2 linked regions of the Sus scrofa genome follow. The protein of the gene in region 1 purifies or fractionates together with the protein of each later gene. This does not show direct contact. Links are inferred from orthologs where the notes say so. Each region holds a gene or a part of one and is shown on either strand. Other genes may lie near its edges.

Region 1 (3,984 bases):
CCAAATCTTTCTTCCTTCTTGCCAGACCATTAATAGCTGCTTTTCAAAAGTGCTTTCTTAGTCAGAATCATGCCCATCATAAGCTACCATTTAATGAGTGCTTGTTATGTGCCAGGAACTTCCTAAGTGCTTCGCATGGATGATCTCATTTAATTCTCCAGACAACCCTATGAAGTAGATACTATTATTATCCTCACTTTAAAATGAGGAAACTGAGGCCCCACTAAGGTTAAATAATTCGCCCGAAGTCAGTGGCTGAGCCAGGCTTAAAACAAGAGCCTCTAAGTCAGAGCCTCAGCAGTAACCATCTCTCAACACTGACTGCAGCGGGTCTCCGGTCGCTTCAGCAACACTCCTGGCTTGTTGCCAGTAGGTTCTACATCTGTAATCTTGGACATCATTGGTCAAAGCCAAGATTTGATGTTTTGCCTAAAAGCCAGAGCCGGGAAAAGCACCTGCCTGGGTCTCAGAGCAGAGAGTGCCATCTGTTGAAAGCAGTGCCAACCCAGAGGACTAGAAAAGAACTCCTAAAACTTAGCCTGCAACATTTGAGAAGTTAGGAAGGCTGATATCATAAGGAGTGCTGGGATATGCAAATGGACATCTGTCCCCAGTGCAGGGTGACCACTCAGTGACCTAAGTCCTCCAAAAAGAGCTTTCTTGAAACAGCAGGTTTAGACGCTTGCGGAGCCAGCAACACAGAAGGAACAACTCTTCCACCAGCACCCACCTCTCTGTCCGGTTGGTTTACCTTCTCCCCAAACTGAGCCCATACCCATTTATTTTGCTATAAAGAAACCCAAAGGTCAGAGCTACTGGGGATAAAGACAGAAAGAGTAGCCTGAGGCTGACATTAGCACAAATCCCAGTCCCCTTCCAAAAAGGAAATAAAAGGCATTTCAGGGATCAAGGTACTGTCTAGGGCTGCAACCAACAGCCTGTTTTAATTGTTATAAATTAATGCTTTGAGCATTCACTTTATTTTTATTTTTTTGTCTTTTTGCTATTTCTTTGGGCCACTCCCGCGGCATACGAAAGTTCTCAGGCTAGGGGTTGAATCGGAGCTGTAGCCCTCGGCCTACGCCAGAGCCACAGCAACGCGGGATCCAGCCGCGTCTGCAACCTACACCACAGCTCACGGCAACGCCGGATCGTTAACCCACTGAGCAAGGGCAGGGACCGAACCCGCAAATCTCATGGTTCCTAGTCGGATTCGTTAACTACTGCGCCAAGACCGGAACTCCTGAGCATTCATTTTAAATGTTCCTTTAAGTGCCTAATTTGCAAATAAGATGCAGTCCTTAGGCTTTGGGTGCCCTGCTGTCCGTCTCTCCTATCTCAAGTACAGCGGCAAAGCTGCTCAGACTGGAGTCCTCAGGCGTCAAGGACAATGTTTACTTCCTAAGGTGGGAAAGATGGGAAGAGAGGACGGGCTGAAAGGAAAGGGAGACCCGTCCCACAGGCCCGGAGCTCGGCTCAATCAACTCTAGCCCCTTCTCATTAAGTTTGAAGAAGGAAGGGGGAGGGGCGGCCGGCTGTTCCTCGGAGACCACAGCAAACATTTGCCGCCTCCTGTCTGGAAATGGAGCATCACTTAAGAGGAAATGAACCCGGTTAAGGGTCACGTCCAGAGGAGGGATAAAAGGAAAAGCCACATTTCTCCTCACACCGACCGACACAATGACTTTAAGGAAACCAAAGCTCGGGGCTGAGAGTGGAGGTGGGGCATGGGGCGCGGCGGCTTCCCTCTGACCCCAGACCCAGGCCTAGGGAGGCAGAGACCAGAGCAAAAGTGGGGGGCTTGCGCGAGGCTTCCTTTCCCAGGGCAAGCCTCTGAAAGCATCTCGGTCTGTGAGCGTGAGCGACCCGAACCCCTTGGGATGACCGGGAGGATGTTCCTTCCCAACGGAGCTGCCCAGCGAGGGTTTGACGAACGCTCCCCCCCACCCCCATCCATCAAAGCTCAGGCGGACAGATGACTTCACCGTTGTAACAGACAAGGGCAGCCACTTGCCAATTCCAATGCCAAAAAAAGAAAACGGGCCTGGGGGGAGTGGAGGAAGGTCAGAAAAGGCTTCCCTGGAAATCAGAGCCCAGCGAAGAAACTCCATCACTGACGGCTGCCCTATGGGCACTTGGCTCTAGACTCAACAGCGGTTAGGGGCACAGGGCTACCGGGGGCCCTCTGGGGGTTCCTGGCCAGCCCCTCCGCAGGGGTCGGTAGGGGCCGTACTCACATAATGCTTGGAAGGGTTCCTCCGCTTCTCCACGTCCACCACGGTGGCATCTTGCACGCAGTAGGCGAGCATCTTCCCCTACAAAGCGAGTGGCGCCCCCCGGCGGCGTCACCTTCTCATCCCGGTCGGGCTCCGGCTCCTTCCCCCGCTTTCCGGGTCTGTGGGGCCACCCGCCACCCCGGTCCGGCGCGCCGCTGCCCGGGCTTCTGGCGCCCACAGGTACGGCTGCTGGGCGGAGACGGTATGGAGGGCACGCGGGCTCCGTGTGCCCGGGTGGCTCCCGGTGGGCCTGCCGCGAGCCCCTTCCCTCCCGCGCCGCCGCCGCCGCGGCTCTTCTGCTCGCCCGCCCGCTCTCTCCGCCGCCCGGTGGGTCCGGCGGGAACTGGCGAAGCAGAGGAGGGGCGGGGGTGTGTCCCGTGGGCAAGGGGACGGGGCGGGGGCCCCAGAGCCTGCTGACAGCGCGCTGGGGAGGGGCCAGCGGCGCCCCTTGGCCGCGCTGCGGCTCCGGGGGGCTCGGCGCTCGCGGAGGCTGTGGGCGCAGGAGGCGGAGGCAGGGCCGGGCAGGCAGGGAAGGGAAGGGAGGGGAGAGAGGGGAAGCGCGCGGGGAGGGGCTCCGGGCCCGGGGGAGGGGCTCGGGGCGACGGGGAGGGGGCTGCTGCCTGGCCGGAGAGGCCAGGGCAGGCTCGCGCGCCCCCACTGCGCCGAGAGCGCGGCCAGCGGCCTGGCGCGACGCTGTGCTAGTTCCCCCGGCACCGAAACTCAGGGTGGCTTCGGAGGGAGGAGGGGCGGGGGGAAGTGAACCCAGCGCGCCTCTACCCTGGCTTTCCTTCTGGGAGCGGATTTTTGCCATTCTGTCCTCACCTTTACGGCCCCCTCCCACTCCTATCTCCCACATCTTTTTAATGAAAAAGTAGGTTATTACTCGGCTGTTACTGTCCAGGCCCTCCGAGCTGAACAAGGAATGGGGAAGGAACCGGCATTAAATCCTTCAAGCCAGAGCCTGTTTTGAGGAACCACCTGCCCCCCTGCGGGTCACAAAGGGTAAATTCTCCCCGGAAATGTGATCGATCTGCTGCCCGAGTTGTCCATCGATCTGGGCCTGGTAACCAATCTGTGATATCATTTACCAGTGAGGTTACAAAGCTGCATAACACCACTGCCTTAAACCCAGAGCTTCCTGGGGACCCACCCTCCTCAGGCCTGTGAGGAGGGAAGGGAGCACACAGTGGTGGGAAAATCCACCGGGTTGGGGGCCAGTGATGAGCTGACCCCAGACTCTGGCTTTCTCACCACCATTCCCTCTGGTCTGAAAAACAGACTTTCCAAATCATTTGTCTGTCCCTGGACTTGGGACACAATTGCTATTTAATGCAATTTTACATCACCCCCCCATCTATTTCAACATTTTTTTTTGCATTCTAGTTTCAAATATTTAAAGAAGTAGTATTTTCACAACTAATCCTATTGTTTCACAGTCACAATAAGCTTTGTGGCCGTGGACCAATGTGAAGCATCTGAAATGGACGCCAAGAGTTTGACAACATAATCGTACCAATACTTTGTTCTCTGCACTGTCGGAACCCATGTAGCAATCTAGGACTTCATTCACACATTTGCTTGGTACAGAGTACCCCCACTATCCCTCCAACTTTCTTGGGGAAGGATGCTGGAACACCAAATGATGCTGCTATCCAAATATGTGACCTGGAGCAAATCACTTCATACCACAGGCATTAGAGTCACTTTA
Region 2 (4,233 bases), on another chromosome or scaffold:
GGATGGAAGCCACTGGCAACTCTGATGGAGATCCACAAAGGGGCCCTACTTAAAGTGATCAGGGAAGGTCTCTCAGAGAAGGTGACATCTGAGCTGAGACTTGAAAGATAAGGAATAAGCCAGGTGGAGAGCAGGAGGAAGAGCTGCCAGGCAGAGGAAAAGCAGATGCAAAAACCCTGAGGTGGGTGTGCTTGTGGCATGTTTTGGGATCTGAAAGAAGGTGCTGCAGTAAAGCAGGTGAGTAGCCTGCTCCACACAGTGCCTGTCAAAGGGAGTTTGGTAAGTCAGCAGGAGCAACATGCAGGGCAGGGGATTTAAAAGCCTGTTGTCAGTTGGTTATCTCCATCCCCCACCTAGGGGGCCCCTGAAAACTCCCAGAGGTTTTCCATGACTAGCCCAAGGTCATAAGAACAGCAAGGGGCACATGTTGCCCATACTTTATGCTTTACCACTGCTACCTGGTGCTGAGCCACAATCCCCAAAACCTGTGGAGCCTGGGATGTGAGCCCTGGAGGGCCCCAGATGCTCCACAGCTCTTTGAGTGTTGCCCAGTGGAAGATACTGCTCTTCCTCCATGGTTCCTGGGCTCAGGTCCACATGGGATGTCCTCAGATGGGGGAGGCCCTGATGGACCCCTCAGACACTCAGATCTCTGCAATGCAAAGGCCTCTCCAGGCAGTGGTCTTTGGCCCCAGCCTGACCTGGAGCTGCTCCAACTCTGCAAATCCAAGTTCAAGCATCCTGACTTCTCACAAACAACCTTGTAGCCCTTAGCTCTCCAGATCTGCTAAAACCGGCTTCGGCTTCTCCCCCCTCCCCACCTTTCTGCTGTCTCCCTTTCTAGCAGCCCCTCCAGCTCTTCCCTCCAGCTCTACCCCACCCCCCCACCCCCGAGGCCCACCTCTTCTACCTTTCTCTCTCATCAGCACCTTCTACTCCCTCCTTCCCCTGTCCTCCTGCCACACACACCTGGCAAAACCCCAACCTTGGATCAATCCACCATCCCTCTTTTTTTTTTTTTTTCCACTCATACTCTAGAGCTGCTGAACAGTGCAGGAGAAAATCACATAAGCAGAAGGCTTGGCATTACTTTCATGGTCTCCAACCTCAGTTTGGGGAAGCGGAAAGACCATAGACTTTGGACTCAAACATATCTGATTTGGAATCCTGTCTCCATACTGGCTGTGTGACCTTGGGCAAGTTGCTTAACTTCTCTGAGCCTCAGTTTCCTCCCCTACAAAACGCGGCTAATGATAATACTTCACAGCAGCCTTCTGAAGATGAAATGAGAACCCATGTGAAGCACCAGCCCAGTGCCTGGCACAATATAGACGCTTGGCAAATGAGAAACTCTTCTTTTCTTCCATTCCTCCAAACAAACCTCAGTTCCTACAACCAACCCCCCTTACTGCCTTGCAATACAGCCGCTTTTTCTTGGAGTGCTCCCTCTCCCATTAGCCTCAGAAGAGAGAAGAGAAGGGGTTCGGAAGGGTTGAAGGGGCACGGGGGACAGAGAGGAGGCGGAGACTGGGGTTGAAAGAATTGGAAGAAGGCCGAGAAATGAGGGACAAGGCTGGGGGTTGAGAAGACTGGAAGGGCTCGGGTGAGCGGGCCGGCCCCGAGGTGGGGCTTAGAGGCCCTAGGACAAGAACCCGCTCCCAGGGCCATGGCCCGGGCTTCCATGCTCTCGATCACTCACCAGGCCGGGGCTGCGAGCCCTCCAGGTGGTAGGAGAAGCGCAGGGCCCGGTGGTGTTGTGGACTGGGGCCGCAGGGCAAGACCCGGGGGCCTGGAGCAACGCCCAGGCTGGCGTCCGAGGGTCCGGCAAACTGGGGATCCAAAGAGCTGCCGAGAGCCGAGCCTGAGCTCCTGGGCACTGGCAGTCCGGGATCCGAGGCTCCAGGGTCCGAGTCTGCATAGGCCGGTGTAGCGGCGCCGTGGGAGTTCGCGGCTGGGTGTTCGGCCTCGGAAGGCCCGGCGCCCCCCGGGGCTCGGTGGCCATGCATGGTCCGGGCCTGGGCGCGGGGCCCGGGCTCCCCGCTTGGCTCCAGCTCCTGGGGCGGAGGCGCGGGCGGAGGAGGCCCGGCGCCCGGCGGAGCAGCGGCCTCAGGCTCGGGGGGCGGGGCTGCGGGCTCAACCCCACTGCGGAGACTCGAGCCCCCGGCCCGGGCCCGGGCCAGCAGCCGTGGCAGCGGTGGCAGTACCAGCAGCAGCCGCGGCCACCGCCGCTGCGGTGCCAGGCATCGCCAGCCCGGGCCCTGCGCGGGGAGTGGGCTCGGCTGGGCCGGGGGCCCGCTGGGGAGTGCTGTCTATGCGGCAGCGGCTGGGTGAGGGTCGGGGGGCTGCGCTAGGCGCGGGCTCTCTCGTAAGCGGCGAGCCACTTCCGCGGCCCCGGGACGAGCGACGGTCTGTTCCGAGTGCGGGGTCTCTTCTTTCTCCCCAAATGGGAATCGATCTGGGCTCTCCTGGCTGGTCGGAAAGGGTTCTTCCTCCCGCCGCAGCGGAGGCTGAGGGGCGGAGGGGAGGGGAGGGGAAGAGAGGGAAGAGGAGGGAGGGAGGAGAGGACGGCGGAGGCGGGGGGCGCGCGTGTGCGCCGCGCGCTCCGGCTGCGGGGCTTCCTCCTCAGCCAATCCCTCCGGATGATGCTCCAGCCGCGGGGGAAGGGGAACAGCCTGGGCCGGGCTCCACCGTCCTCCCCAGCCTCGGCCTGGGTCTCCGAGGCAGCGGGCGCGAAGGAGCCGGGGGAAGGGGGTGGGGAGGCGGGAGCCTTCGCTGAAGCAGCCGCAGCCACAGCGGCGCTGGGACCCAGTTACCCGGGCCCCGCCCCCTCGCCCGGGATTTGCGCCTGGCCACGCCCCCTCACTCAGGCCGGCCTCAATTCTCCCAGAGACCGCCCTCAAGGCCCTCCTTCCCCTTAAAAATTCCCCCTCTTCCGGCCTTTCCCACCTCTCCCTGGTACCATACAAGCAAGTCTATGGGCTCAACACCCCAAATCTGCCTTTTTGTCCCATCTCAGATCTGCCTCCCTCTGCTTGTCCTTCAATCTTCTTTCCAGAAGCCTTTCCACATGTTCCAGAGTTTCTCTAGGGCTTGGCTCATAGGGATCTTCACTCTGCTCAGACCAGACCCCGTGGTCCTTTACTTTTCCATTCTCTTGCCAACAGCCCCAGTTCCCAGGAGTTGTCGCATCCGCCTGGCAACATCCCAACCTTGGATCTGTCCAACTGTCCGCCTTTTCTATGCCTGCGCCCAGGCAGCTAAACACTGCTGAAGAAAACTATTCAACCTCACAGATACAAGCCAATATAAACTCATAGTACCTAGTCTTTACCAGGCCCTTGGTGCTGAACCACAACCCTACTATGCATCCCCAGGCAGCCTTCTCTCTCAAGCTCCACAACTGCTATTTCTAACCTCCCCTTCTCCTCAAACTCCCAACTTCTCCATCTGCCCCCTAACCCTCATACTTACTTACTTACTTCACAGAGTAAACAGAAGTCACCAAAAAGGAAGTTTTTGACTTCTTGTTACCAAACCTACAAGAGTCCTTCCCTTGCTCCTTTCCACCAGCATTTCAACATACTCGGGTCTCTTCTATCTAAAAACAATTACCAAAAAAATCTCCCTCTCCAGCCACCTCCCTCTCTTCTCTCTATAAATGGCTCAAGAGTCGCCTACACTTAACTCAATTTTCCCACTTCCCACTGATCTTTCAACCCACTCCAATCTGCCTCTACTACTTGCCTAATGCTGCTCTTCTTATCAAGGTCTGCCTTGGCCATGTGTCACTAAATTCAGTAGAATCTTTTCAGAGACTATCCTGCTGGACCTCTTGGTAGCATTTAGCCCCAGTGACCACTTCCTCCTTCTTAAGCCACTTCCATGACACCACACTGTTTTTTTCCTACTTCCTTGGTAATTCCTTTTTACTTTCCAGGGTCCTCCTTGTCCAACTCTCTCTCTCTCTCTCTCTTTTTTTTTTCCTTTGGCCATGTCAGTGGCATATGGTAGTTCCCAGGCCAGCAATTGAACCTGTGCCACAGGAGTGACAATACCGGATGCTTAACCCACTGAACCACCAGGGAACTCCATGTCCAACTCTTCAGTGTTGGCACTCTTTAGGGTTTCCCCTGAGCTCTATTGTCTTCTCTCTCTCTGCTCTTTCCTATGATTATAACATTCTCATGGCTTCAATTATCATTTCTTTGCTGATGGCTCCCAAGTTGATACCTG

Evidence for each region. Proteins that work in one complex are often made in the same cells at the same time.
Region 2: the proteins of SH3PXD2A (region 1) and FGD1 purify together in Homo sapiens (affinity purification with mass spectrometry; 3 studies listed by BioGRID and IntAct, with this or other methods). This does not show direct contact. The link is inferred for Sus scrofa from reciprocal best matches to the Homo sapiens genes SH3PXD2A and FGD1.

Annotation. Positions count from the first base shown.
Region 1 is NC_010456.5:114,774,452-114,778,435, forward strand, and holds the start of SH3PXD2A (SH3 and PX domain-containing protein 2A), read right to left. Parts: upstream 2,801-3,984; 5' UTR 2,310-2,800; coding exon 2,238-2,309; intron 1-2,237. UniProt on the Homo sapiens protein: Adapter protein involved in invadopodia and podosome formation, extracellular matrix degradation and invasiveness of some cancer cells. Binds matrix metalloproteinases (ADAMs), NADPH oxidases (NOXs) and phosphoinositides.
Region 2 is NC_010461.5:47,228,857-47,233,089, forward strand, and holds the start of FGD1 (FYVE, RhoGEF and PH domain-containing protein 1), read right to left. Parts: upstream 2,801-4,233; 5' UTR 2,007-2,800; coding exon 1,700-2,006; intron 1-1,699. UniProt on the Homo sapiens protein: Activates CDC42, a member of the Ras-like family of Rho- and Rac proteins, by exchanging bound GDP for free GTP. Plays a role in regulating the actin cytoskeleton and cell shape.